Linked DNA regions of Rhinolophus ferrumequinum. The protein of the gene in region 1 purifies or fractionates together with the protein of each later gene. This does not show direct contact. Links are inferred from orthologs where the notes say so. Each region holds a gene or a part of one and is shown in the gene's direction. Other genes may lie near its edges.

The links.
Region 2: the proteins of DICER1 (region 1) and PRKRA purify together in Homo sapiens (co-immunoprecipitation; 4 studies listed by BioGRID and IntAct, with this or other methods). This does not show direct contact. The link is inferred for Rhinolophus ferrumequinum from reciprocal best matches to the Homo sapiens genes DICER1 and PRKRA.

What each region holds. Positions count from the first base shown.
Region 1 is NC_046289.1:8,181,903-8,196,844, forward strand, and holds the start of DICER1 (endoribonuclease Dicer), read left to right. Parts: upstream 1-7,247; 5' UTR 7,248-7,266; intron 7,267-7,288; exon of another isoform or gene 7,289-7,427; intron 7,428-14,942. UniProt on the Homo sapiens protein: Double-stranded RNA (dsRNA) endoribonuclease playing a central role in short dsRNA-mediated post-transcriptional gene silencing.
Region 2 is NC_046291.1:47,473,664-47,488,605, forward strand, and holds the start of PRKRA (interferon-inducible double-stranded RNA-dependent protein kinase activator A), read left to right. Parts: upstream 1-7,978; 5' UTR 7,979-8,244; coding exon 8,245-8,309; intron 8,310-8,616; exon of another isoform or gene 8,617-8,625; intron 8,626-8,848; coding exon 8,849-9,018; intron 9,019-12,487; coding exon 12,488-12,569; intron 12,570-13,612; exon of another isoform or gene 13,613-13,722; intron 13,723-14,676; coding exon 14,677-14,755; intron 14,756-14,942. Other genes in the region: PJVK (pejvakin), read right to left, coding at 993-1,285, 1,500-1,598, 3,083-3,200, 4,286-4,427, 4,954-5,149, 5,875-6,085. UniProt on the Homo sapiens protein: Activates EIF2AK2/PKR in the absence of double-stranded RNA (dsRNA), leading to phosphorylation of EIF2S1/EFI2-alpha and inhibition of translation and induction of apoptosis.

The sequences.
Region 1 (14,942 bases):
TCCAGAACTGTGAGGAAATACATTTCTATTGTTTCAACCACCCAGTCTGCAGTATTTTGTTATGGCAGCCCTAGCAAACTAATACATACTGCATGAGGAAATACATTTCTATTGTTTCAACCACCCAGTCTGCAGTATTTTGTTATGGCAGCCCTAGCAAACTAATACATACTGCATGCCAAAGTGCACCCAGAGACTAGACGTACACAGAGAGTGTCTCAGTCTGTCCGGGCTGCTATAACAAAATACTACAGACTGGCATTAATAAAAGAAATGTATTTCTCACAGTTCCGGAGGTTGGAAGTCGAAAATCAAGGTGTCCGCACGGTCAGATTCTGGTGAAGGCCCTCCTCTAGGAGGCAGACTGTGGACTTCTGACTGTGTCCTCACGTGGCAGAAGGGGCAAGCAAGCTCTCTGGGACTTCTTCTTCTCAAATGTTCCAGAAAGTTTTTTGTATTCATGAGTCTTCTGTAAGTTGGTGATTGTTTGAAAATGGAAACAATTTCTTTTAAAAATTGACAGCTAGCATTTGCTGAGCACCCACGATGTGCTCAATGTGGTCGGTGCTTTGCACAATGAGCGGGTTCAGTTCCCCAGGGAACTTGCCTCTGTCTTGCATCTCTACCAATAAGGAGTCCTGTACCCCTCCCCTCGACCCCTTTAGCAACCTGAACTCCTCCCCACTAGACCACATCTAGTAACCACTTGTTATTTGTCTGTAGCACCTGCTCCACTGTCCATGGACAGTGAGCTCTTTGAGGGCAAGGACTAGCTCCCGTTCTTCATTCTACCCACATCTCCCAACGCGGCTTCTGGTAAATTGTAAGTGCTCAATATGTGCTCAGTGAATGAAGCCCCGAGGCTTGCCCACCATGGTGACTATAGTCAAAAATGAGGCAACAGACTTGGGATACATGTTTGATACATGACTTCTTTTCTGACTTCTGGCTCTGGCAAAGGTATGCAGTGTGAAAAACTGGTGGAAAAATACAGATTTATACGTCTCTCCACAGGTGAGCTCCTGCGCCAGGAGCTGCCATTAGAATCTGAAAGAGAGACATCCTGGAACATGGAGACCTGGTGCCCTCAGTAAGCAACAGCTTCCTTTCCTGGCTGGGGAGAGATTTGGGAGCATTATTAGTCTAAGCTGCTGCAACAAAGAAACCCAAAAAGACAATGGCTGTATTTTATTTCTCTCTATGTAACAGTCCCGAGGCAGGCAGGACGTCTATGTTGTCCAGGCCCAGGTTCCTTCTGTCTTGTTGCTTTGCCCGCCCCTTGAGTATGACCCTATTTCATATTTTCTCCCAAAGCTGGTCCCCACTTTAGAGTTAAAATCTTTAAAGCAGAGATACGCATTGGTACAACAGAGCCTACAATTAAAACCCTCTGAAAAATAGAAAATAAGGTTTCTATTGTTTTGGGAGGTATGATAGCATTATCTTGAAATTTGGTATCTTCCTGGTATAGTTTAAGTAAAGCATGTGTATCTTTTTATGTTAAAAGAAAGAAAGAGCACTAATCCTATTCATGAGGGCCCCAGCTTCATGACCTAATCATTTCCCCAAAGCCCCACCTCCAAACACCAGCACCTTGGGTATTCAATGTATTTTCAACAGAAATTGGGAGGGCGGGGGTGGGGTCGGAGAAAGGGGCATAAATATTCAGACCACAGCAGGGAGCTACCCTGGCAGTTGCCTTATTCTGATTTGTTTGCCTCATGCAACATGCGGAAGAGAATTGGATGGAAGGATATCTGGAGCATGAGAACTAAGAAAAAAATGATAAGTTTCATTTGTCTAGGAAAATGAATGGGGTGGGGAATGTAGTGAGGAGAGAAGAAATGGATAATAAAGCTACTTAAAACCAATTTAAAAGTCTACAGATCTGTTTAACTGCATTTAAAAATATGTAGGCAAACTTGGTTTTGTTACTGCCAAGCTTCTTTAAAAATTTGTTTAGCATAAGTAGGAATGCTGCCTGAATGTTGTTTACTGAGCAACAATTCAATATAAATCAAGATTACACTCTTTTTCCAAATGAAAAAGCTGATGCTAAGGTACGGGGAAATTGTTTTATTCCAATTGCGGGGAAAAACCAGTCAAATACTGTGACACTGATACGCTCACCACATGGCTGTAATCTTTTCTGTTGTTTTATTTTCCCCTGTAGGAGTGAAAGGATACTGCAACTCCACAGGAGAGCTAGTCAGAGTACTGGGAAAAGCAGAAAGTCGTTTTAGATAACTTGCCCTTGTAAAATACCGTATCGTTTGAAGGTCAGGGTTCTTTAGTTCTAAATTAAACAAGCCTCAGGGATTCAGTACTGATGTGAGGGGGAAAAAACATGATTGAATTAAAAATCACCCCCCAAAAAGAGATGCCACGAAATATTGAGTTAATTTTACTCAAGTCTTGAGAGAGGCGTGATATAATCTGGGACAGTAAAAGCGGTACTGAAGGTGCCTGACTGGCGTATTTTTTTTTTCTCTACATTTTATTCTAACTGAAAATGCTATTTGAGAAGATTAAGATTCATGGTTAGCTGCTTTAATATTTTGTTACAGAGCAAAATAATAACAAAAGAAGTTTTGCCTCGCGGTAAAGACGCCTCATCTTAATTACATTTAATAAGACCCATTGGTCAGATTGCAAAACTCTGGTCCCTGGCAATGTTCTACCCCAATTGTACCTTCTACTTTCTAGAAAATAGTCTTGGTGGCCTTGAAACTGGAACTATAAAAGAGTCACATTTTTACCCTCCTAATATATCTAAATCAGCTATATCTCTCTCCCCTTGACTATCCTCGTCAAAGCTACCTTATCTTTTACACTGTTGCAAATGAACACTTTAATTTTGTTCTTCCTCACGGGCTGGAGTTCACTTTTAAAAATGTATATCTGATCACATTACCTGTTGATTAAAAACCTTTATATGGCTTCTTCGTCTTTGAGATGAAACAGCAAATCCTTAACATGATACATAAGTTCTTTCCGTTCTGGTGTCATTTCCCCGTCTCCTTATCGCTTGCTCTATGGTTGGGTCAACACTGGGTTTCTTTCAGTTCTTTGAATGAGCCCCCACACCTCCTTGCCTCTGGGCTTTGGGCATCCTGGGCCTTCTGCGTGGAAGTCCCCTACCCTTTACTTGATCACTAGCACTTTAGGTCTCAGCTTACGTGGGTTCCTTACTTAGGAAGAACTTCTTTGACCCCCCATGGACTGTTAGGCTCCCCTTCTTTTGTGGCCCAATATCCATCCATATGCATCTGCCATCATAGCAGTTCCCTTGTCGTAGTTCTTGTTATTTAGAGAAACTAGAAATTCTCCACCCCCAATTAGGCCAACATATAAATATGTAATGCAGTGTGGGGATGGGGCCCACTTCTGTCTTGGGCTCTGTCTCTGTCTGTTGTACACCTACTTGGTTGCTGGCAGAGGCAGGCCTTGTCTTGCTGAAACCTTGGTCGTGGTCAAGAGCTGTGCTTGGCCTATGTTGTGTAATAATGAAAGTTAAAGGGACGGTGTTCATTCTCCCACTTCTCTGCATGTAAGTTTCCCCCAATAAATCCCACATTATAGATGTACCATGTGGCCTTGGGGGGTTTGTCTGTGACTCCTTGCATGACAGTTAACTTTGAATACTTGAGTAAGGTGGTGTATCTGCTAGATTCTCTTTTGTAAAGTTCTCATTTTTTAAAATAATAATTTTATGGGGAGATGCTTTGAAACTATATTACTATCTCATTCCTTGTCCAACTTTTACCCACTAGATTTAGTAAACATTGATATTTCTTGGCTGATGATTGCCAAATGGTGATTTTCCAATTCCATTATTCCTTCCAAAGTTATCAGTTGAATTCTACTCAAAGGAAGAGCTGTTTCTTCTTTCGATTTATTTATTCATTAAAAAAAATCAGTGTAGATTCATGGATATATCCATATGCATGGGATATATTGTATTGTCATAATTTATTTTGATGCTCAAAAGTTGTCTCAGATTTGGCCAGCAGGAGGCCCTTCAAGATGACTGCTTTGTCTTTGAATTGTCTTCATCATTCTTTGAGCATTTTCATACTCTCTGGCACAAGATGTTCTAAGCTCATCTATATGATACTTTTACATTTGTATTTATTTAATAGATATATATATATATATATATTGAAAAACCTTGAATTCACATCGACATCTCAATTCCCATCCAATCACTCAAGCCTTCTTGCTTTTCTTCTTTTTGTATTTGTAACCCCTTCTCCAAAAGTGAGAAAGCTGGCTGCTATTATCCTCAATAGTTTTTCCTTTGTGTAGCCCCCCTGTATAATCAGTCACCTGACTTTACAGGATGGCTGTCCTTCCTTCCCTTTCTGGGCTCACACCCCGACACTGGCCTGACTTCCTAGATAAATACGGGGTGGCTGTATTCTTCAGTGTTAGTTGTAAAGCAGAGAAAAGAAGTTAGTAGAGAGAGATGCACAGATGAAGCAGAAAACAAAGGAAAAATGTCACAGAAGGACATGAAGAGTTATCTTTCGGGTTCCTGGAAGCTTTTCAATCACTGGTTGTAGGCCCTAGCTATGATGCAGCTGTATTTCTGCTCCTGGCTTTTGTGAGAAACTCCTACATCCTTATGATAAATTCTTCCCTTTTGGTTAAGATTGGTTTGTTACTTGCAAACAGAGAGTCTTAAACAAAGGTATATTTATTTATATCCTGGCTTGTTCTACCAAAAAAAAAAAATGAAACAAATTGTGGAATATAATCAGGGCAAAGGGAAAATAAAAATTAGCCCACAGAAAATGCATACCACATGGAACTGTACTGCTGCTTAATATGGGCTGAAATATTAGCTCTAAGATTTCTAGTGATCTAAACAAAGTATGAAACACTATCCCTTACAAGATTTTATGTCTCCAGATTTAAAATAAACCAGCAACTGGAGGAGGAATAGATACACCATGGGAACAAAATAGAGTCTAGAAGTGAACTCTTCAACAAATGGCCAATAAATAGCAAACTGTGTAGCCATCTGGAAAAAAAAAATTCGATCTATACCACATCCCTTGTATGGAATCAGTTCCAAGTGGATCAATGTTTAATTGCAAAAGACTAGAAGTCTAACTGTCCATCAATAGATAATTGGTTAAATAATGGGATAGCCCTGCAATAAAATGTTATGGGAATTGGAAAAAAAAAAAAAAAAGCAAGGAGCTCTGTATATATTGCTATACACATATCTTCTTGATATATTATGTAATAAAAAGCAAGGCACAGTAAATGTGTATGGCATACCACTATTTTTGTAAATTGAGGAACGTCCTGGGCTTGTACATGCATAAAGAATTGCTCTAGAAGGAGCAAAAAAATAGTGGTTACATGTTTGGGCATGGGGACAGGTGTCGGGGGAGAGATAATTTTTACTGTATACTTTTTAATGGTTTCTGATGGACAAGCCACATAGTATATATGTGCTTATTTATTTAAAAAAAAAGTTTAACTTGATGAAAATCAGAGAAAGCTGTGGATGGAGAAGCCCAGCTAGTTTTGACAGATTGGGAGGACAGCAGGAGGGCCTGAAAGTGTTAACCTGCCCACAAATTCCCATTGCTAGTGGACCCCCATACCTGTTCCCATCCTGAGATGCCATCCTCCCATGAAGGATTATGGCTCCAAAGCCTTTCTGTATACTACTGGAGAGATCTATTTCCCACTGTGCTTGGAATATAAGAAACATTTTCTATGGAAGTCTGCCAAGAGCATTCTGACTATTTCCTCATTTTACCCATGAACATTCTATGTTTAAGTGAAACCTACAAGCCAATTTACAGTAAATATATGATCAAAATTTGAGCACAGTAATGACTGAGCACATCAGCTCCAAGCCAGAATACCTGGGTTCAAATCTCAGTTGTTCATTTATTAGTTTACTTGCTGGAGGTTTTCATTTTAATAGTGTGTATGTGTGTTGGGGGCAGCAATTACAGCACCTACCTCACAGGGTCCACGTAAAGATCACGGGCTTATTTACACCAGCCTGTCCAACAGTAAATTATATAACGCGAGTCACATGAAACGTTAAAATTCATTCGGCACTCACATTAAAAAAATAAGATGAAACTGATATTTATTTCAATACATTAAAAATAATACCACTACGACATGTAACCAACATAATTATTAGATGTTTTACATTCTTTTCTGGTAAAGAACACATACATCTGAGTTCGACTAGCACGTCTCAGCAGAGAGTGGCCATATTCTAAGTGCTCAGTAGCCACGTAAGGCTGGTGGCCGCTGTATTGAAGAGTGCAGCCCTAGACAGTGTCTAGCGCGTAGTAGGTGCTGCTAAGTGCTAACTCCTGAGAGCAGAAGCATGGTTGCTGTTACCAGACCTCCTCTGGAGTAAACCTGTCAGGTGAGTCCTCTGGAAGAGATGTCTACATTTTGGCATAAATGAATAGGATTTTCTTTAAGCCAGCCACTTACTTGGCCTCCATATTTTAATTCACAGCTGTGAGGTATGGTACACGGTTGCAACCTATGCAAATGAACAATTTACATAAGTGGGGCCACTGTCCCCATCTCAGTTATTTGGTTATCCCAGCTCCGGGGTGTGGGGAAGGAGGTGGGGTCTGTCGTCTCGCCTAATGCGTTGGGCCCCGCACCACTAATGCGGAGCAAAAGCAGGCAAGTGGGAAGGTCCTTGAAATAGGGGTTGGGAAGTGGAAAACGGACGCCGAGCCCTCCGGAGAACAATTACAGCTGTGGGGCAGGGCCACGTTCAGAGGGCGGTGGGTGCCAGAAAGGGCAACAATGGAGGCGGGCGAATTCCATGAGCCAAGAGGTTCTGCCAAGTTAAGCGAGTGTCCGCAACCTCGGCGCGCAGGCCCACGAGGGTCGCAAAGGCGCGGGGCCGCGGCGGTCGAACGCCCGGGTCCCGGCCAAAAGCTGGGCCGCAAACGCCGCCTCGGCCTCCGCCGCCGCGTCCGCTGTCTCCTGGCTCCTGAGTGGCTGGGGGGCCGGGATTAACCTTTCACCGCCACACTCTGTCCAATCACAGGCTCTCTCTCATGCCGGTGCGGGACGAGCGGAGCGTGGGGGCGCGGAGGGGGCGGCGCGGGCGCCGGTGGGATTCTCCAAGCCGCGGTGCGCCGTTGCCGCGGGCCGTGCGCGGGCTGCGGACGAGCCGGGCGCTGCGCAGTCTCCGCAGGCGCCGGCGGGAGGGGTCGAGGCGGAGGCGCGGCGCGGCACAGGCTGCTCCAGGCCCAGGTGAATGGAGTAACCTGACAGCGGGGACGAGGCGACGGCGAGCGGGAGGAAATGGCGGCGGCGGCGGCGGCGCCGGGCAGCACCGGGAGGCCTGGGCTGTGACGCGCGCGTCGGAGCGGGGTCCGATGGTTCTCGAAGGCCCGCGGCGCCCCGTGCTGCAGGTGAGGCGGGCTCCCGCGGAGCCGCTTTGTGTCCGGGGCGGGGAGCGGCTCCGCCCGGCTCCGCGCCCGCCTCGGCGCCCGGGCCCGCGTGGGCGTCCCGGCCCTGGGCCCGCGCTCCGGCCTGGCCCGCGGGGCGGAGACGGCGCGAGCAGATGGCGCGGCCTCTTCTGGTCCCGGGCGGCGCGGCCTGCGGGGCCGGCGTCCACCCGCGGGGCTCTGCGCCTCCCCCGACCCTGGCGCCGCTCCTGATTCGCCGCTTTGGAGGGACTTTGTGCGGTCGCTCCGGCACTGGCTGGGGACGCGGGCGCCTCCGCACGCGGAGGGGAGCGCGCCCTCACCGCTTGGCCCTGCCCCAGGGGTTTGACAGGTCCGGGTACGCGCACGGAGTGGTGCGGGATCTGCAGCGGGGTCTCGGGAGCATCCTGGGACCTGCGGTGGTGGGGGCCACTGCGCTGGGCCTCAGTGGACACCTTGGAAAGAGCTGGGAGGGGAGGAAGCCGGGCTGCGCGTGCTGGCTGGAAAGCGCGAGCCTTCGGGGCCCTCCCGGGGAGCAGTGGGAGGATTGTTCATGTTTATTGGCAGGTGACCAGGTCTGGGTCCCAGGGGGCGGGTGGCCGAGGCCATCTTTCCACCCTTCCCAGGTTTTTGTGCCAGAACGTCTGGATCCTGCAAAGGGTTTTTAATCTTTGGGAAATCAGTGTATGTTTTAAGTTAGCACATCAGATTTATATAGATTACCTGGAAAAGCTGAGCTGCCCCAATGGCTTTGCCCGCAATACAGAGCTAACAAACCACGTAGTGTATCTTTAACAGCCTGAAGATTTGCAAAAACAGGGATGAGTGGGGAATCCTCGCTGGATAGTGTTCAGTCAGTGCTTTTGTGAAGAAAGTCGTGCTTAAAAGGGAGGCGTTACTGATCCGTATAAGTCTGAGTGTTCTTATGACTAGCGCGGTTTAAAAACATTCATCCAATTAAAGGGTATTACTTTAAAGTGTGTGTTTCTTGAGGTGCTTTGAATTTTCCGAATTTTTACAGTTACGATTTTCAGTTGTCTTCTTGTTGCTTAGTTTTCAAGTGCAGCAACTCAGTGACTGGAAAAAGGCAGAAGTAAGGAGTTAAGTAACTTGGAAAATTATATATTTTCAATGTGTTTTAATAAAAGGTTAACTAAAGTGGAACTGTATTGGTATAAACATTAAATTTTCTAAATAAAAAAAAAGCGATCTTACCAAGAGATCCAATAATTTATTACATGGATGATGGTACATGATTCTGAATGAGGCTGCTAGTGAATAATAACTTTAGTATTGCTAATATCTTTAGGAACTAGGTTCTGGAATAATCAGTTTATTTTGCCAAGTGTTGTCTTTAACACTAGCTACCTGTGGCACGAGTGTATTGGATGTAATATATGCCATATCTATACACACAGTTATTTTCAAAACTTCATCTTCGGCCATATTTTATAAAACTTTGTAGATTAGAAACACTAATGATTGCTTTTAATATGTCACGGAATAAGCATTTAAATGGTAATGTTGGCTTACAGATTTATTCATGGCATCAAAATGCCGTTTTATGAAAAGATGTATTAGTTAAATTTAATTTGGGGAGAAAAGTCTTCCTGCAATTATTTTAGTAACGGCTTGCTCTACTTTTTATTCTACTGTCTCATCAATAAAGATTAATTAAGTTCTGCCTTCTGTATAATGCTTGTGGCCCCGTGTATGAACTGCATAGTGAGATTGCTTTGTGATTGCTGAGTTTATTGTCTTGGTTTTAGAAGACGTTTTATTTTGATGTGGCTCATGATCTCATTTGATAGTGATTTTGTGGTGTTACATAGTGGGTGGTACCTGAAGTGTAGTGCCACCTTCTAGTGCCACCTTCTAGGAAGGATGATTTTTATGGCATTGCGATACTTATTCCCTGCCACTGTCTGACATGTGAGATGCTTGCTTCATTTGAGAAAGTAGGTATTGCACAGTCTCTCACTTGTGACTTTAACATCCTGTGGTCATTACTTGTGGCAAAGGAGAGAAGGGGAGCATTTATTAATAAGAAGTGCCTCCTTATGTGCCAAGATGTTGCAGGTGCTTTTATATACATTCTCGTTTAATCCTCATTGTGGCCGAGATATTGTCCTTATTTTACATGCAAGGAAACTAAGACTCAGAGATAATTGCCTCAAGTTATGAGTCTAGAAGTGGCAGAGCCCGGATTGTCATGGTTTGATTTCAGAATCCTTGCATGTGTGCTCTTTTTGTTGAGTAGCATTGCTGTTCCCAAGTGGATTTTCAGGGAAAAACCTGTATAACCTGTAGTTAAGTCCTTAGTTAACACTTGTTGAATGAATGAAACTGTGAAACCTTAAATGTTCAGGTGATCTCTCTCTGAATATTTCAGATTTTCCCCCTTTTTTGTGGTAAAATATACATGACATTTATTATTTTAACCACTTTTAAGTGTACAGTTTTGTGATAATTAAGTACACACGTTGTTTTGCAACCATCACCACCATCCATCTCCAGAACTTTTTCATCTTCTCTTCCTTAACTGAAACTCTGTATCCATTAACATAGTCTTCCCTTTTGCCCTCCTCCCAGCCCCAGGCAACCATCATTCTACTTTTTCTTTCTGTGAATCTGACTGCTCTTGGAACCTCGCATAAGTGCAATTATACAATATTGGTCTTTTTGTGACTGGGCATGTTTCACTTAGCATCTTCAGGGGTCATTCATTCAGGATTTATTCATGCTGTAGCATGTGCCAGGATTTCCTTCCTTTTTAAGGCCAAATAATAGTTCATTGTGTATGTATAAACCACATTTTATTTATCCAGTCTTTCATAGGTGAACACCTGGGTTGCTTCCACCTTTTGGCTTTGTGAATAATGCTGCTGTGAACCTAAGTGTGCAAATACCTGTTTGAGTCCCTGCTTTCACTTTTGGGTACATGGCCAGAAGTGGTCAGATTGTTTTTTGATCATCAGAGCACTAGACTCAGAATTTATTGCAATATGAGTTTTCTCAGGGCTGTTCACACAGTTATGTACACTTTCCTACAAATGGTTCCTTCTGTGTCAATAAAGGACTTTAATCTCCTTGAGGCCCGGGATTGACTCATTTTTATGTTCCTATCAGTGTCTGGCAAGTGGATATTCAAATCACTGAATTCCTTCAGTGGATCCATCACAGAGCTGTGTCGTGCTCTTTTGGATGCTGGAGGAAGGTACTGGTAAGGTCGTGTTTAACTTGTGTAAATCGTAATGGAGCCAAGTGATTTATCTTGTTCACCTTGTGCTCTGCTTTTTGGACATTCAAGAGTTTAGCTCATTCTGAAAGCCCAATGGATGTATACGTTTTATTATTTGTCTTCTTTGAGAAAGGATTTGCCTTGATCTTGTAATAATAGACAGGTGTTTGAGAGGACTGTGAAAATAGTAAAGGTTGAGTGGAGGAGGCTGAAGGGAATGGAATGAGAAGCTTAGGGCAAGGATAGCTCAGCCATCTGCATGTAACTAAAGCTTTTTATTTTTATTTTTAAGTTATTAGTCAAAGCAAAAGAGGAAACTGTACAAATCATGTAGGCATTGATTCATGGGAGGAAGTATACCGATTAATCAGGAGTGGCAGACTTTTGTCTGAAGAATACATAGTTGTCTGAATTCTTACATGAAATGACATTAACAATATATGAAGAAAATGTTTTACATTTTACAAATGATAGAGAAACATTTTTCACATGCCATTGTAGAGAAACCAGATAAAAGCCTCAGGCATAATAGAAAAACTTTAATAACATAGGTGGACATTGTTCTGGTGACTTGATTTATTAGAGTTTAGTTAATTTATCTTTCAGATGACAAATGAAATATCATTTGTCTCATTGAGGCTTTTGACAGATGCCAATTGACAATTCATTCACAGATTATCTCTTTTCTGGACAGTATAGATAGTTAGATTTTTCTAAATTCTCTCTGCTCGTCTTTGGGAATGTGTGTTGGCCTAAAAAGTGAGACTGCTTGGGTGGTGGTATATATCTGGTGAATGAGTACAGAGAGAAAGCATTGCAGTTGACCCTTTAACAATGTGGGGGTTAAGGGGTGCTGACCCCCGCTCAGTCAAAAATCTAATACCTTTTGACTCCCCAAAACTTAGGTTGCCCCTTGCTATCCGAGGTGGATTCATTCCAGGGCCCCCACGAATACCAAAATCCGTGGGTGCTCAAGTCCCTGTATAAAATGGTGTAGGTTAGTGTATAGATAGAGTCAGCCCTCTCCATCCACGGACTCCCAACCATGGATAGAAGAAAACAGTACTGGTTATTGAAAAAAATCCACATATAAGCAGAGCTGTGTCTTTTGAGGGGCACCTGTATTTTTGAGGTCGAGCTGATGAAATTGAAATTTTCAGTCGTGTAGGAAGACCTTTGTTAAAATAAGTTCCGAGTACAAAGTGGCTTTCCTAGTTATTTAAAATTGTCGATGAGTTGTTGGTTGTCCTGTAATAAGTAAAGATTCTATGCATTCTAAATATGTGACTAAAAGATGCCACAAGAAAACATTGTCTGAGGATGCCAGTAAGACTTACTAGAAATAAAACATGAAAGACTTAAATTTTGGTTTTAGTGTTTTGATTTTTGAAGCTTGTAGTGACATTAAATGACTGTGTTACGGTTTATAGAAGAGTAAGGATAGAATAGAACAGTGCCTGGCATACAGAAAGTGCTCAGATTTGTTGAGTGAATAAGTTAGTCTATATTCATTTTTGAAGTGCTTAGAAGCTAACACGGGTTTATAGAGAATAACATTGCTTGTATGTTAAGCTCTGAAAAAGATCGTTACTGTTTTGATTTCGGACAGATCATGCTGCCTGGTTCTTCTCCATACGATGGGCAAATGATTAGGTAGGTGCCTACAAACATTGCAGACCAAGACAAGTGTTACGAACTTCATAGATGAAAATGGCTATAAAAATTGGGGTGTTGTTACTGGTATTTTAGGCTTTCTCATTGTTGAAGCAGGCTAACCCTGAGAGTGGTTCTTTCTTAGGTGACAGCTCAATGTGTGCAATAAAGTAGGGATTTGAAAAACACATTTGGAAATTCTTTGGGGGGTGGAAAATGTCAGCAAATCAAGAGAGGATCTTAATTAAAATTTTTTGAGGAGGATTTCAATTTAAAAACTGATCTTGAAATGATGTAGAAAGCTTCTTTGGTTAAGGAGTTAGATCAATAACCCTATTTGAAGGGGAAAAGAAAGGCAGCAGACTTCTCTGATATTTTGAGATTCCAGCATTTCTGTCTTCCTTTTATTGGCAACAGCCTAGGAGGGCAAGACGAGCATCATGGCCCCAAAGACTTGAATGGCCTCTCCTCTGCTTAGGCCTCCTGCTGCACGACCTTCACTCCTGGGTAGCTTCAAATAGTGGGATTTTAAGCTTTTTCAACTTTGCAAAATTAAATATTAATATTTTCTTATAACGCCATAGGGATCTTTCAGAACAAGCCTTTGGTGTCAGAGAGACCAGGGTTCATATTCACATCCCTCCAGCTTATAGCTGAGGAACATGAGTGTGTGGCAGCCCCTTTGAGTCTCAGCTTCATCACTGGTAAACGCGTCAGAATAGTTAGTACCTACGTGAAGTTGTGAGGAAAAAAATAGTTTATTAAGCTCGTAACCTAATTCTGGCACATAACTACCATTTGATAAAATTGGGCTGATATTTTTAATTTAAATATGCATGCTAGAGTCTCAATGTGATTAGATTATATCACAATTATTTCCCCATGAATTCTTACTGAGATGTATGTCGAATATATCTATAGTGGGAGATGAAAAAGAAAAGAGGGCCTTGAGAGCAATAGTCCACACACTAGTTTTCTATATCAGGGATTCTCTCTCTATACTGGATCCACTGGTCCAACTATTTTAGTGATACCAAGTGTAATGGTGCCTTAGATATTGCTAACTCCCCCAGATACCATTAGGTTATTCTTCTATTATGTGTGAATAAAGGCATCATCCTCGAGTCTCTATTTTGAACCAGTCTGAACTTTTTATCTGTGTCAGATGCACTTGCTGTGGGCCAGTGGTTTTTACTCTGGAGACTACTGATTTGATGAAAGATATGAATCTTATCCCCCCAAATGTACATATTCATAATCCTGTATAAAATTACAGGAGGTACAGGGACTCCCCCTAACGCTATCCATAGATACTTGACTTTTAGGCTATATCTACACCGATAAAGACAAGTAATAGGTTAACTAAGGAACAGCAGCAAAATGCCGGATAATTGAGGCATGAGTTCCGTATGATTGGTGGAACCGAATGAACAGTGTAAAATAATGAGTGGTTAAGAAACCTGTGTTCTGGTTTAGTTTTACTTCTGAATAACTAGCCAGGTGTTAAGGGAAGGTCACCTTGGCCTTTCTAGACTTAGCTTTAATTTTCTCACTAGTAAAATGAGAATATTTACGAGCCTTCAGGCTGTCTTATAATGTGTAGTCTTTGAAGCACCCATATCAGTCAGGGACCTCTCCGTTTCAAGCTGAGGATCTAAACTAAACACGAGACATGGAAAAGAGAGACTGCCATTTGCTGTGCATTCAAGTTTGTATGTATAGTGACCAAAAGACAGTACATGATGAATTGTGAGATGTTCTGAGCAGGAAAAGTAAGGTGAAAACTCTGGGAAATAGTCTTAAAAAGTAGATGAAGGCAGATTTTTCCTTGAATGGATGGCAGAATCTTTCAGACAATTGAGTCTTTCATCCTCTATCTCTGCATCTGGTACAGCTTGGTAAATGTTTGTTAATGAATTGAGAATCTGACAAACTGTCCAAAGTCAAAATGATGAAGCTCAAATAACCCATTGAGAGGCCTCTGGTACTATTAATGAGAAGGAAGGTGCCCAGTAGGCACCCCGGATTTTAATTTTGAAAGCTTTTATTTCACGTATAACACTGTACTGAGATTACCTAGCCCTTTTCAGTCTTGTATAGCTAAACACTGAACAGACGAAAAAATACCCAATTTCTAAATCTTCATTCTGTATAATTAAGTGGTTTGTTAATCTTTGACCAAATACAATTTTGGGTGTTTTAAGGAAAATACAGGATTTTATTGATAAAAAATATATGAACTAGTAATAGAACAACCTAAATTAGGTGTTTCAATGCTGCAGTTTGTAAATTGAACTGGAGTTAAGGCAAGCTGTGATTTCTACATACTACTGTATTAGTATCTTAAAAGGAGTAATTCTTTATTGCTTATGTAATATATAGATTTTAGTTTGCAACCCTTCTTCAATAGAATATGTGAAGTAAGCCATTGCCAAATGGTGCTTTCCTTTTTGGATACTTTTGTAAAACGTTTCCATTGACATAAGAGAATTCTGAAGGAGAATATTGTTTTTACACTGAATCTTTATAAACCTCTAGCTTTTCCCATTTCTGAACATTAGAGGAATTCTGGAAGTTGTTTTACATATATAAGTTGGGTCCATTCT
Region 2 (14,942 bases), on another chromosome or scaffold:
CACACTTTGAGTTCTAGAATTTTGCAATTATTTTAATAAGGGTATACAGTAAATTAGTAATTTGTGTATGAAAAATTTCAGATCTCGTACAAAGTAGGTGAAAAGGTCTCTCAGAACTAAGTATGTTAAATGTTTTAAACATTTCCAAAGGAGAAAAGAAATAAACGTGCCCTAGATGCCTTCACTTTAAAATAACAGTAGTGAGTTTTATAAAGCCAAAACCAGTGAGCATATGTACATCACAGAATGGCAGCCCATTACTGTTAGTCACCCTGTTAACTGTGTACACAAAACCTCACACTGAGCTCAGTGTGCTTTTAATTTGATACTGCAATTAAACATTTAGGATTACATTAAATTATTAACATGTTTTTCTCTTTTTACCAGATCTAGGGCAATAGTTGAAGCACCATAAAGACGCACTCTTTTCATCCTTAAAATGTTGAACTAAAAAAGCCAATTAAAAATAAAATTGATTTTTAATTTTAAATTTAAATTTTAAATTTTTAAATTTAAATTCATCTTTAACAGACAGAATTACTGAATAGACGACCTCAGGTGTTCATCCGAGAAGAGAAAAAAATACATTTGAAATACTCTTCAATGGACATGATTTTTAATTTTTTTTAATCTCAAAATAAAATTGAGATTTGGATAAATCTCTATATAAAAAGTTACCTAAAATGATAGACTAAATCCCAAAAATACTTCAAAAGTGACTGGCAGATTTTATGAAGGAACATCTATATTCTGAATATTATATTTAAACCTTTTTAATATAAAAATATTATTAATCTCACAACAATTTATGAGGTAGACACTATTACCATCTCCACTTTATAGATGGGGAACATTACAACTAGACAGGTTAACTGCTCTTTCCTCTCTCTTTTTAATTTGCCACCGTCCATAAAAGGGGACCTAGATAATTTTGGAAAGTTGCGTGGCACTGTTGCACCTAAAATACCAGGAAGGTACATTTATTTTTCATTTTATTTCATTCTCTTGTGCCAAATATCAAAACAAGGAACTGCATGAAGTCTCACGTACTTCTGCCCATCAACAGAGCACTGAAAGCACCCATAAACCGTCTCCCTTTTTAAGTTCCCCATCCCACAGAGTATGCAAGGTCCTTTTGGAATGTTGTGATTAAGTAAGTTAACTCGGATATGAGTCCCTTCTTTGAGTGAAATATCAGTCATGCTGAAAGGTTTGTCATAGTAGTCAGAAAAAAGATCATCTAAGTAAAGCTGTGAACGAGAAATGACGTCCATCACTCTTCTATCTAAAAGGACAAAAACAGAGAAACGTGTTCAGAAGACAGACAAAAACCATATAACTGCATTTATAAATACATGAATCTAAACCATCAGTCATGAAATGATTTGGCTTTTAAATTTAAATTCATCTTTAACAGACAGAATTACTGAATAGACGACCTCAGGTGTTCATCCGAGAAGAGAAAAAAATACATTTGAAATACTCTTCAATGGACATACTTCTTTCAAATAGTATATTTCTCAATCTGTAGAGCGCTGCAAACGTTGCTGTTTCTTCCCTTTCAAATCCTCCTTTTGTCACTGAAGTGACACAAAGGTCTATAAAAAAAAATGTAGAAGATGTTATGACTTGAACAACTCATATTTTTACAGTTGATGTGACTCTGGTTGATGAATTCTGGTACCTGACATCGTATTTTTTAAGTTAAATTTTATATGTTTTTAGAAAGGCAACATTCATATGGTACAAAATTCAAAGAGTACAAAAAGTGACAAGTCTAGTCTACATTGATTCTAGCCTCAGTTTTCCACCCCAGAGGTAACCACTGTTAAGTTTCTTGTGCATACTTCCAGAAATATTCCACATATTTTACATGCATATATGTGTGTGTGTATATATATATATTCTTCAGGCTCAAAAAGTTACATACTACACACATTTCTTTCAACTATTTCTTAAGAGATTAATCCATGTCAGGATGTATAGTGCTACCTCATTCTTGAATCTTAATGGCTTCATAGTAGTCTATGGATGCAACATTACTTAACTAGTTGCTGATAATAGATTGTAAGGTTAGCTCCAATCTCTTGCTATTACAAACTGAATATCCTTATACCCATAAAATTTCACATATGTATATCTGTAGGATAAAGTCCTAAAAGTGTAAGTAAGGCTAAAGTATATGCAAATTTAAAATTCTGATGGATATAACAGTTCTATCTGTTTGTACTCCTCCTAATAATATAATTGTAAAAACCTACACCTAAAGTATCCCAAATAGAATTAAATTTTCATGTTTTATTTTGTTTCTGGACTCCCTATTTCCCCACAGAACTGCAGAAACAAACAAAAACTGTCTAAAATTGTTTATAAATTACCATGGCTAGGGGGCTTGCTTGCCTCATCCTTTAGGCTACACTTAGACTTGAGCTGTCTAGCCTCCTAATCTTAAAGAACCGTGAAATGTAGAAATCTAAAGTGAGCTGCCCTGGGGTATTATATAAGGTGATAATTTTAGGGGAAAATTTATTTTCCCCTAAATATGTATATGTATATACAATATGTATACATATATGTATATGTATATATGTATATGTAAATAACTTTTAAAGTTATTTTTCAGGGCAAATTGAGGGGAAAGCTGGATCTATGACAGGTAAAACTGAAGGAAAGTTATCTTCAGGTAGCCTAGTTTGGGCATCCTGACACTTTAAGGCATCTTACTGTCTACTTTCTCCTCTGTTTGCCATCATGAAAAATTACCAGTTAGAAGGTCATTTATTATCTCCCCACGTAAGTCAAGGAATGCTTTGTCAGTGGATTGCATTTTAGCTCTCATCTATAATTTTAAGTGGGGTGGTGGGGAGTCTATAGCCTCCCTCTACCAAGAAGCCGGAAAGAGGTATTGGGTAAGTAGGGACTGGAGGATCTTTCCCAGCTATTTCACCCAAGCATAAGATTGACAGTACTCTGAGAGCATCATTATTCTATAATGAGAGAGAGAAAGAGAGAGAGAGAGATTCCTATTAAATTCTTCTTAAAATATAATCAATTCAGTGTTTCATGAAAATCATTCACTCACCAAAAGCACCATCCAAGTAAATGAAGAGTTCAAAAACACTGAAAGCTATGGTTGTGTGTGCTGGAAAAACAATAGCTTTGTCCCTTCCCCTGGAATTCTGTTCATCCATAAAATGAAACTATATTAAATAAATAAATAAATTATATAACATTATTAAGGATCATAACATGAAATGATAGCTTTTTGGAGAAACAAAACATCCTACAATCCTACTCAAAAAAAACAAAAAACACCTCTCCAACTAAAGAATGATCCTAACTGAAATAAACTTTATAGCATAGGTCCAAATGGTCCAATGGGAACTCGTGACCTGTATTAGGAAATACCACTCACCACTTTCTCACTTACTTCAATATTAAAGCCAATGATTAGTGCTAACACAACAGTAATGATCTCTGGTATAGAAAACCTTTTCTTTCAATTGCAAACCAAGTGCATTTAAGTTCTACAGCTTTTTTTAGCCTACCCTATCTACTGTTCCAAAGTCTCCAGCGCTTTCAGGAGCTTTGCAAAGCAATCACCAACAAGTAAATGTTTCAGTACCTGCCCAAATGATCCAATGTTAATTTGGTGGGCGGCTAAATGAACAGAACCTTTATTTGCAAAGACTTGAAAAGATTATCATTGAACCCTATCGTTCTGAAAATTGATTTTAATGAAACCAATCAAGTCATTATTATTATGCATCATTATTATGTGAATGACAAAAGGACGAATATTGTAATTGAACTAATGATTACACACAAATTACTTTCAAGATTTTTAAAAAGATTTAACATTGAATGAAGCATGTTTAGCCATTGACAATATTATTTTAGAAAAAATTAATATAAAAATGTAAATTCAGCTTTTAAAAATTCAAGTATCAACTACATCACTTAAAAATAACATCAAATAATTCAACATAAGCATCTAATTTTTATTCTCAAAACAGCATTTAAGTAGTAATAGGAGGGACTGCAGTATGCACGTTATTTCACGAGGATTAGAGTTTTGTTTGCATTATATTACACATGTTTAGAATCAAAATTTTCTTGATTTTTTTTCACATTCTAAGACAAAACATTACTGTGCAAAATCCTATATATACCATTGCAGCTATTTAATCTCAACATTTGACAAAATGCATAAATCTCATTAGAAATTTTTGAAAATTCCCATTGCAGCTTTTTAGCAAGAGAAGCCTAGTGAGTGTGGTTTTACCCGCATGGCTTCCCCACGAATTCCAGCGTGCACAGACAGTGAGCACTGTCGTGTGGTTCGAATGCTTTCCATGACCACACACAAGACTGCCTTTCTGCTGCTCCTTGCCTGACGTATCAAGCTGTGGTCAAAATTAATTTTTCTAAAATAAACAAGAGAGACATTCACAAGAATCTGTAACATCTGATTACATATAATCCAGTACATTTTTCGCTATCATGTGTTTCTCATCCACGGTCCACCTTAACTAAAAGTAAATCAAGACAGGCTTGATTTACAAGCCAGGAAGTATGCTCAAAAGAAATTTAATAATCTGCTTCTCCTTTCTATTTTCTTAAGACATGCTTACTATAGGTGTCTACTGGAGAGGCTCTCTTGGCACACTTGTTGCAAGCAGATTCCTGTATTCTTTTAATCTAATAATTTTGCAAATATGTGTAGATCCAAAGCAATTTTGTGGCACAATTAAAAATTCTTTTTGAACCAAATGATTTTGGATATCTACCCTTATCCAAAGTTAGGGTATATTACTAATTTGTATTATTTCAAATAAAAAATTACATTAGTAAAATATAACCTGAGTGTTTTACTCATTCTTTATAATGAAGTTTATATAATTAAAATATTTAATGAAAACACTGAAGTATAGTAAGGATTATTATACTGACCGTGTAGTAATTTCCTTGAGTAATGTTGATACTTCCACCTCATGTTTGGTTACTACACCAAATGACGCTTTTACTGCCACAGAATCTGATCCAGTAACATTAATCCCAACATCATTCACAATATGGTTGCCTCGTCTTCCATAGAGTGAAACATCTGATTCATCCTCATAATTCAGTAACTGATAAGATGAAACACCTTTAAAACAAGAAAATTAATATTTTTCAAATGTCTCGAATTTGTCTAATTTAGATTACATGTGGTAACATGTTAATTATTTAAGGCTCAATGACCCAAATTTTGAGAAAGGCAATGTTTCAAACCAAGATTAAAAATAGCAATTCAATTAATTAGACAAGAAGAAATAGAGTACTTAAATGAACTCAAATTCTACAGAACTTCTGAAGCATCAAGATCTCCTGGGTCGTTCAAAGAAAAACAAGTGTTGGTAAGAAATAATTTGTCAAAATGTCAATTTATTTTCTAATCTGGCCTGTAATGTATTTAACATATTTTAGTTTACCAACTGTAATAACTGAATCATAAAAAATACAAATTACCTTCATCTCATTTGACCCTGTGAGATAAGTAAGACGTAATAATAGCCCCATTTTATAGGTGAAGAAATATTTATTATGTCATATTCTAAATTGATTTGGTTAAAAACAATTTTATAAAATAATTGAAATAAAATTATACAATAAATAATCTTATAAAATAGGCTTGAAAATTATTTGAGCAATGAGACTTGCTACTATTATAAACTTTAAGCACTATTAATCATGTTATTACTGCCATAGCAATAAAAGTTGCTTTTATCAATGAAAATGTGTAATTATGAACATAAGCAGTATATATAATCTATGTTTAGATTACCAATAATATAGCTGAATGAGCAGACCCAAACAGACACTAAAACTTACCAGCTGAAATTTCTCTGTCTCCTAGAAGAATATCTTTCAATGTAAAAGGTGTCGAGGTAAATTTATATCTGGGAAACAGAAAGCATCGTTTCTTTTTTACCACCAGACTTAGAGGTTGGTATTTGTCAGCCTCACTGAGGCTTGGTACCGGAACTAATCTCCCTCCATCTCCAACTTGCTTGACAAAGCTCTTGGTAGCAGCAACAAACATATTAATATGGTATCAAAAGGCGATCAACTGCAACCCTCGGATAAAAAAATCCATATTGTCAAAGAAAATCAGGCACAAAACTAAGTCTTGCTGGATTTTAAATACAATTATATATATTAAAACTACAAAGCACGGTTTCACCAAGTAGTTTACAGAGCACAGTTCACAACACTGCCTCCCTTGGTGTGCTCAGGTGTTGAATTATAGATTAACAGTGTAAAATGATATACTAAAAGTAAGTCTAATTTGGAATTGCAGTCTATAGCACTAAAATATACCCAGAAAACTAGTAATTTTAAAATACTACCAATGTCCTTAAAGAGGGTCAAGGTTAGTAGTGGCTTGCCAGTTTTGAGGGACACACACAGCCTTATGGGAAAAACTATGCAGTTTAGACACTAACATTACCGCTGGGCACCAGCTACAGAGGACCTAGTCCATAGGGAATTCCCTGTCTATTATGCCAATTTTGGCAACAGAGAAGTGCTGCTTTGAATCCTGATGGTATAGTTTGTTTGAGCATTCCATTCATTTTCCTTGTATGCTTGCAAAATGAAGTAATTAATATAAAAAGTAAATTCACAGATTATAAGCAAACAATTGTATGCTTTATAAAAAATATCTTTATAAAATACTAAATGGAAGCCACATTGCATACAATAACTGTATAAACTCAGATGTATGGGTTTCTTACTCAGGAGCTGGCACGAAGACATCTCTTTGAAAGAGGGTCCTGCTTCATTTATTTCCTTTTTGTTTCATTATTCTCATTCCAGTTACTCAACCTTTAAAGATAGCTACATAAGATTTTGGCTTGTTTCAAAGGAATTTTGTGGCTAAAAATACATTTTAGAAACAAATCTGAGGGCTGAAATATTGTATTGCCACAGTTATGTGGATGTTGTATTTTGAAATAGTGGCTATGTGGTGCTCACAAATTACTCAAAACAAATAACATTAGTGGACAGTAACTGATACTATAAAGAGGGGGTTGGGGAAGAAAGAATAGGTGTAATTCAAGCCTCAAATAATATAACCAATTTGATTAGATTCTGGACATTTTTTAAATCTGCAATCAAATATACTCGCATGCAACCTCAAAGAACAGTTTTGAGTAGTCTCTCGGTGCGAATAGGATTATGAAAAGCAATCTTCTAGAACACCGAGAAGACACACAGAGCCATTTCTGCAAGTGGCTGCAAACCCCTAGAAAAGCCACTGGACATCTAATTTCGCTGTCGGACCCCCCCCACCAAAGGTGACGCATCCTAAGCAAACCCGATTACAACCAATACCACAGGTGTGCAGAAACAGCATTTAATAGGAATCCGGCCCATTGAAAAGCCGTAGTTTACACGTAACAGGCCTAGCTGGGATCTGCGCGCCCAGCATTCACTTAGCGATGAAAGTCTAGAAGACAATGGAGCCCACGGGGAGGTAGAGGAGGGGTGTAGCCCGACGTCCCTGCGAGCTCTTAAGGGCAGGTCTCGGGGGCCGGAAAAGCTCAGCGCAGCCCTCAGGAGCTGATATACCCAGAGTCTCAAGCTTCCCGGCCAGGCCCCGGGATGCACTCTATAAATTTTGCATTTGGAATTTTGAAATCTTTTTCTTAAAGTGACGCAGCCCTCATCCTTTCCTCCGGCCCAAAAATGACTGGGCTTCGGGCCCCACAGAATCTGCGAGCCTTCCCGCCCGACAAGCCTCCTCTCCAGGCAGGAAACGGCCTCCTTTTAAAGACACAATTGCGGCTTCGACCAGGCCGGAGAACAGGGTGCCGAAACACACGGAGGCCACAGGATGGGAACCCGCTGAAGCAGAGGAAAGCCAGGGCGGGGAGAAGGGGCGGGGCCAGGCGCCGAGGCCTCCGGATGCCAGTGGGCGGGGCCGGGCAGGGAGACAGGCAGGTAGCCAGGAGAGCGAGGGGGCGTAGCCGGGAGCCCCGGCCCGAGCTGCCGCACGGAGGCTCCGCCTCCGCCCCCGCCCGTCCCTTTCGCCAGAGGGACGTAAGCAGGGAGGATAAGGGGAGCTGGAAAGGGAGAATCGGAAGGGAGAAGGCGGCGGCGGTGGCGCTGGAGTGCCCCTCTCCGGGACCGGCGGACCCGGGGAGCGAGAACGTCACTGCGCACTGTTCTTCCGCCGTCGAGCCGTCCCTTCTCGCCATGTCCCAGAGCAGGGATCGCGCCGCGGCCCTGCCGCTGGAGCACGAGGACAGCGGGACCTTCAGGTCAGCGCCGGAGAATTCCGGGCCGAGCCGAGCAAGGGACAGAGTGGCTGGGCAAGAGGGGCGGGGGCGGGGCAGCGGCTCTCGAGCGGCATTCTGGGTAAAGCCCCTTTCTGGTAAAGCCCGCCTGGGAGGCTGCGGGCAGACCCGCGGCGCGCGGGCTGGGTCTGCGGCCCGGCCCCGCCCCTTTTGCGTCCTGGGGTGGCGGGCGGCGTGGGCGGAGATGACACTGGGCCTCTTGGGAAATGGGATTTGTGGGTTTAGTCGTTTGAGGTTGCAGCACTTCTATTAGTCTACGAATCCGTCCTACCTGCATTCAAGTTACCTCCTTAAAGACCTCCCTCAACCCTGCCAGCGCGTGCCTCATGCCGGCCGCTGCGGGTCCGGGAGATGGTGCGCCTCGCCAGCTCCGGTCCTGGCCGCCGGGAGCTTCGGCGCTTTCTCCCGTCACCGTTGGTGGCGGTCAGACAGAACTGGTCTCTATGCTTCTGCTTCCCTCCCGGTTTTGATATGCACAGCACACCTTTTTCTGGTTTTTGCAGTTTGGGGAAGATGATTACAGCTAAGCCAGGGAAAACACCGATTCAGGTATTACACGAATACGGCATGAAGACTAAGAACATCCCGGTTTATGAATGTGAAAGATCCGATGTGCAAATACACGCGCCCACTTTCACCTTCAGAGTTACCGTTGGTGACATAACCTGCACAGGTCTGTATGCACAGTTAACCTTATGGACCATGCAGGTTGGCGGTCAAGATTTGGCAGCATCAGTTTAGAAAAGTGCCCTTTTTACTAGAGACAGCTATGAGGAACAGGTTCTTGAAACTGAGACCTCATCTCAGGTTATTGGGACTTTCCAACTTCATCTGATTTTTCTCCCTAGTTTTCTCATCCCCAGATACCAAGAGAAGCTCATTAACATATCCTGGGATCCTCCTAGGGTTTTTCCAAGAATTAGGGAGAAGCAGGAAAGATTCTTGAAGCAGCCATAGCTAGATCAGTAGGTGCTGTCAAGTTTTATAGTTTCGTAGAGTATAGTAGATGCCAGGAGGCATGACCCCAGAATTTTCTGAGCCTCTCTTCTTTGTGTATGGACTCATTTGCTGCGTTGGACCCATTATACCACACCCAATTCTGTATCCAAGCAGAATGAGGAAGGTGAAAGGCTTGGATACACTATATTGCATAGCAGTATTTCCTGACACTACACAGGTATTTTAATAAGCTGTTACCTCCATTTTTATATATGACAGGTTCAGAGAGATATAAGTAACACGCCCAACATCACAGTAACGAAGTTTCAGAATGCAGATTCACCTGGTTATGGTCTGTGAGTTTCATAATTAAAGCCCATTTGTAAATGTAGACATTTTATTTCTTAGGTACCTATGTAATTTCAAACAAAAAATATTGAATGCTGAATTTAATTTGGAAGAATGTCAAAAAAATTCAGCAGGAATACTGAAGTCCCACCATCTGGCAATCTGAAGGCATCATTTGTTTGTATCCCTGAAAATCTGGAGTTTGCTATTTTCATTGAAGCCACTTAACAGAAAATTTTGAAGCTTTTTGTCTGTGTAAGGCAAGTGGATTGGAAATGCTAGTTGGAAGATTCCCTATATGAACCATAGAATCAACATTGCATTACTGCTTTAATTGGACTATTTATATTTTTGATAAATTTTATTGGGGACTATTAGGGAACAGTGTGTTTCTCCAGGGCCCATCAGTTCCAAGTCATTGTCTTTCAGTCTAGTTGTGGAGGGCGCAGCTCAGCTCTAAGTCCAGGCACCGTTTTCAATCTTTAGTCACAGGGGATACAGCTCACCATCCCATGTGGGAATTGAACTGGCAACCTTGTTATTCAGAGCTTCCATTCTAACCGACCGCCCCTCCAGAAGCTCAGTAGCAGCTTGATGTCTTCAGTCTAGTTGTGGAGGGCGCAGCTCACTGACTCATGTGGGAATTGAACCGGCAACCCTTTTGTTCAGAGCTTGTGCTCTAACCAACTGAGCCATCTGGCCGCCCCTAGCTGGTCTATTTTTAAATATTCAGTGAAAATTCAAGAAAAACTAGCCTTTTACCCTTCAATGTTTTACAGACTAGAGATTGACAACCTATGGCAACCATTCTGCCGAGGCCCCTACTCTGCTCACCCTGGACTGCCCCATCTTCCTGTACAAGCTTATCTGCCTCCACAGCTTCAAATACTATCTAAAGACTGATAATTCTGAACTCTCTGTCTTCAGCCCGGGCCCAGGTGCAGAACAGTGTAGCAGCCTTTGTTTGCTGGACATCTTTGCTTGGATGACCCAAAGACACCTCAGTCTCGTTGACTCCAACTGAATCCATCTTCTCTCTCAAATCCATTTCCCCTGCTTTCCAAGCTCAGTAAAGACACCACCAGTATCCATTTGCTCAGAGTAGAAATTTGGGTCTCATCTTCTTGACTCCTTCCTCTCCCTCTGCCTCTTGTCCAGTCTGTTCCAAATCTTACTTCCTAAATATCTCTTGAATCTGTCTGCTTGTCTCGTCTTCTGTTTGGGCCACTGTCATCTTCCACTTGGATTACAGTTACAGTCATGTAGCTGTTCTTTCAGCTTTTAGTCCTGTGATGCCCATTCTCTGCACGACCACCGGAGTGTTCTTTGTGGCATTCAAATCTGTTCATGTACTTCCTCTTCCTAAAATTCATTCAGTGGTTTCCCCATAACCCTCTGCATAAATACAGATAAATACAGGTTTCTTAACACGACTTACAACCTTGCTGCTCAAAATGTGATCAGCAGCAGCATTAATATCACCTGGACACTTGATGGAAATGCAGAATATCAGGCTCCATTCCAGACATAATGGATCAGAGTATGTGTTTTAACAAAATTTACAGGCAATTCCTATGCACATTAAAGTTTGATAAGACAAATTTAGGACACTGTTCTCTGACCTCTCTCCCTACCCTCCAACTCTCTAGTTTTTTATCTCAAAATTCCTTCCCTCAAGCTCTTCCGGTACCCAACTACTTGGGGCTCTTAAGAACTCCATGCTCTGTGTTACCTTTGAGCCTTTGCTGGTGTTCTTTTCTTTGCCTAGAATGTTCTTCGTAACCCCCAGCTTTCTTCACATTACTAGCTTTCACTAATCTTTCAGGTCTTCATTTAGTTAATCTCTTCCTTCATGAAACCTTTCTGAATCTTTACCAAGAATAGACGAGCTGCCCCATTTGTATACTCCCCTACAGGCTGCACTTGAGCCTGTCATTACACATACCACTCCACATTTCAAAGGCCTATTTATAGACAAAATACTAAGGGCAGGGACTCTTGTTTAGTTCTCCACTCTATTCCTAATACCTGTGTTAGCGGATAAATGAGTACGGTTTTGTGTCCTCTAACACTTGAGGATCACACTTGAAAGGTCCCCTTTGTTTCCTCCACACCAGAGGAATGGACATGAGCATTCTGATACCACTTTCGAGGGGTTCTCAACACCTAGTTTGAACACAGAAGGAAAAAGACTGAATTTACCATTTACTAGGTGTGATTGCTTACTGAAATTTGGCATCGGTCTCAGTGATTAGTCAGGCCTATTCCTTGTCTCCCCATTAGCTACCCATGTAAGGATACAGATTGTATAGAAGACGCATAACGTAAGCTCTCACTTTCTTCCTATATAAACCTAACTAACCTCCCTTACTAAACCTAACATGTAGCCACAACTGCTTTGCCAGGCAAGGGGGTTTAATCCAGTCTAGGACAAGCTGTTAGAATACAACTGTGCATCTTTCAGTGTAGGTGGCTCCCTTGAAGGAAACTTCTTGCCACAGAAGAATTTCTCCCTGTGAATAGGGGAAGAGTAAAATACTAAATTGCATTTCTTCAGGTGTGACAGCCTACTTTTTTACCATTTTAGGTAATAAATAGACATAATGTAAACATGATGTCAATTTTTTATACAGATATGCCTAGAATTAAATACATAGAACTTGAAAAGTCATGATTTTTTTTTAATGTATTTCATGTGGTTAATATTTTAGTGTGTAACTGTATGTTATGTGTATGTTTTTATTACCTAATGTGTATATGTAAAACGTATAGTGACTTTGTTTTGTATTATGAAAACATCTATGCAAAACTCAGTTTTCACAGCATATACTTTTTTGTTGTTAACCATAATTCAGGTGAAGGTACAAGTAAGAAGCTGGCGAAACATAGAGCTGCAGAGGCTGCCATAAACATTTTGAAAGCCAATGCAAGTATTTGGTGAGCTCAATTTCTTTGTATTCTGCAGCTCAAAATTATCATGGCTGAGGTAAGATTAAAAGTTTGAATATGCTCGCAAGTGGAACAGAGTGAACAGTTGTTAGTGTTTGCTCTAACATTCTATTTCCTTGTGGAAACCTGTTATCCATTAAGGACAACTGTATCCTTAAGAAATTAAATACAGTATGAAGTGTTGAATGAATGCTCTCTTGAACTAGGTGTTGTTGTTTTTCCTGGATGGCGTGCAACAGGAGAAAACCAGAGTTTGCCTGGCAAATATCTTACTGTATTAAGACTTTAATTATTTCCACACTGAGGAAAGCAAGGTGTGAGATGGGAAAAGATTAGCGATGAAAGTACCCTGTGAGGAATTCTAATTTGGAAGGAGACAAAAAGATTTCCTTTTATTATAGCATGTATACCAAATATAAGAGGGTGTTAAGTGGGATGTTAATTCTTGACATATCTTTCCAAAATAAATTTTGTTGGTGCTTTAGTTACTTTGGAAAGAGTATTGGCCCGGGAGCATCTCATGTATCATAAGGTAGTGTCCTTCGGTTTCTAGTTGCTTCTCTTTACGTGTACTCAAGTATACTTGGGTAAATCTGGTATATCAGCTCATAGTTGACAGCAGAGGCCCATGGAAATTTAGGATGGGTTTTTTTTAGCCATAGCAAAATTTGACTTAGGGATGTATTTAGGTTCTCATGCAGTACTCCTCTGTTTTTCAAAATTATTCTAACCATTTGAATAGTTCAGAACTAACCAGTGTAAGCCTTGGATCTCACAAAATGATGCTAAATTCTCTGGGGTCATATATTGTAGTCGATTTATGCCAGTTTTCTAGATATACCAAATGGCATGGCAGGAATTGGATCTTCCCCTCATTGGTGATGGCCATGCTATTTCTGTGCAGCCCAAAGGTCAACCCAAAGTGTTAAGTATATTTGTAGAAATGACCTAGTGTCCTACCTATACATGGCACTTCATTTTGTCAGCAAAAAAGGCTAACCCACTTACTATATATTTGTGCTTCTTGACAGATAAGATGGGAATTACTAAGCTGTAATGAGGCCTAAAGTGGCCTCATTTAATACAGAGACTTTCTCACTTCTCCATCACAATTATTTGGGTAGCTTCGGCATGCAGCATTGTAAGTGAATATTCATATCTCATCAGCCTATGTAAAGCTTGAAATTGTGGTAGTTAGAAAACAAACTTGAGGAAGTGGCAATAACTGAACCTCGTTTGTCATGAAAGAGATGGTTCTTCAGTTGCCTAGGTGGTAGTAACCTTGGAATGCCACTCTTCCAGTGTCAGGCACCCATCACCCAAGTAACTAGTATTTCAAACTACTTGAAAGAGATTGTTCTCTTTTTCCCTAATCACAAGCCCCACAATCTGAAACCAGATTCATGCAGGCCACCTATTTTATGCAGGCTACATATACATCTTAGGAGGATTGTCCTAGCATAGAGCAGATAATATATCAAAGTTAGACAGATAGATAGATATAGAGATAATTCTTCCATAATTATCTGAATAAAAAAAGCTATATTTCCGATCTATATTATTCACATTGCTAGACTAAATTTTCTGACTAATTGTTAGTCTTCCATGTTTGTGTAGTTGTAACAATAGTATGCTTTATTTAAATACATTTTATTGAGCACATATTATAAAAAAAGTACTACAAGGTTTATGAAGGTAAGTGATACATAGGTCCTACCATCAAGGAATTTATAGTTATGCAGAGGAGACTCATATGAGGGATGGACAAATTATATGTATTTGTAAGAATGTATAATTTATGGTAAAATAATTTGCTTAAGAAAGGGTTACACCAGATGTTATAATGGCTCAAAGAAGGGAGAAATTATGTTCCATTGGGGTAAATAGATAGGCTTTTTAGAGGAGGTGGCATTTGAAATATACCTTGGATGATGGATAGATCAGATTTTCATAGAAGAGGAGAGAGAGAAGGGCATTCCATGTAGAAGGAACAGCAAGAGCAAAGACATAGAAGGTTAAATAGAAAGTGCTTGTCATTTATTTCATAATTGGAGGAAAATTATTTGGTTTTATAACACTTTAAAAAAATGTTTAGCTTTGCAGTTCCTGACCCCTTGATGCCTGATCCTTCCAAGCAACCAAAGAACCAGCTTAATCCTATTGGTTCATTACAGGTAAGTCGCACAGTTTTTCCTTACTTAGCATTTTGTCTACTGAAAAGAAGATGTCATAAATTGATAATATCACAGGGACAAGACAAGGAATTAGTATTTAAAGATAAGATGGTGTAATATTTTGTTTTTTTACATTATGATCATTAGATATTATAGCGCTAAGTTGAAATTATTTTCCTATTTATTT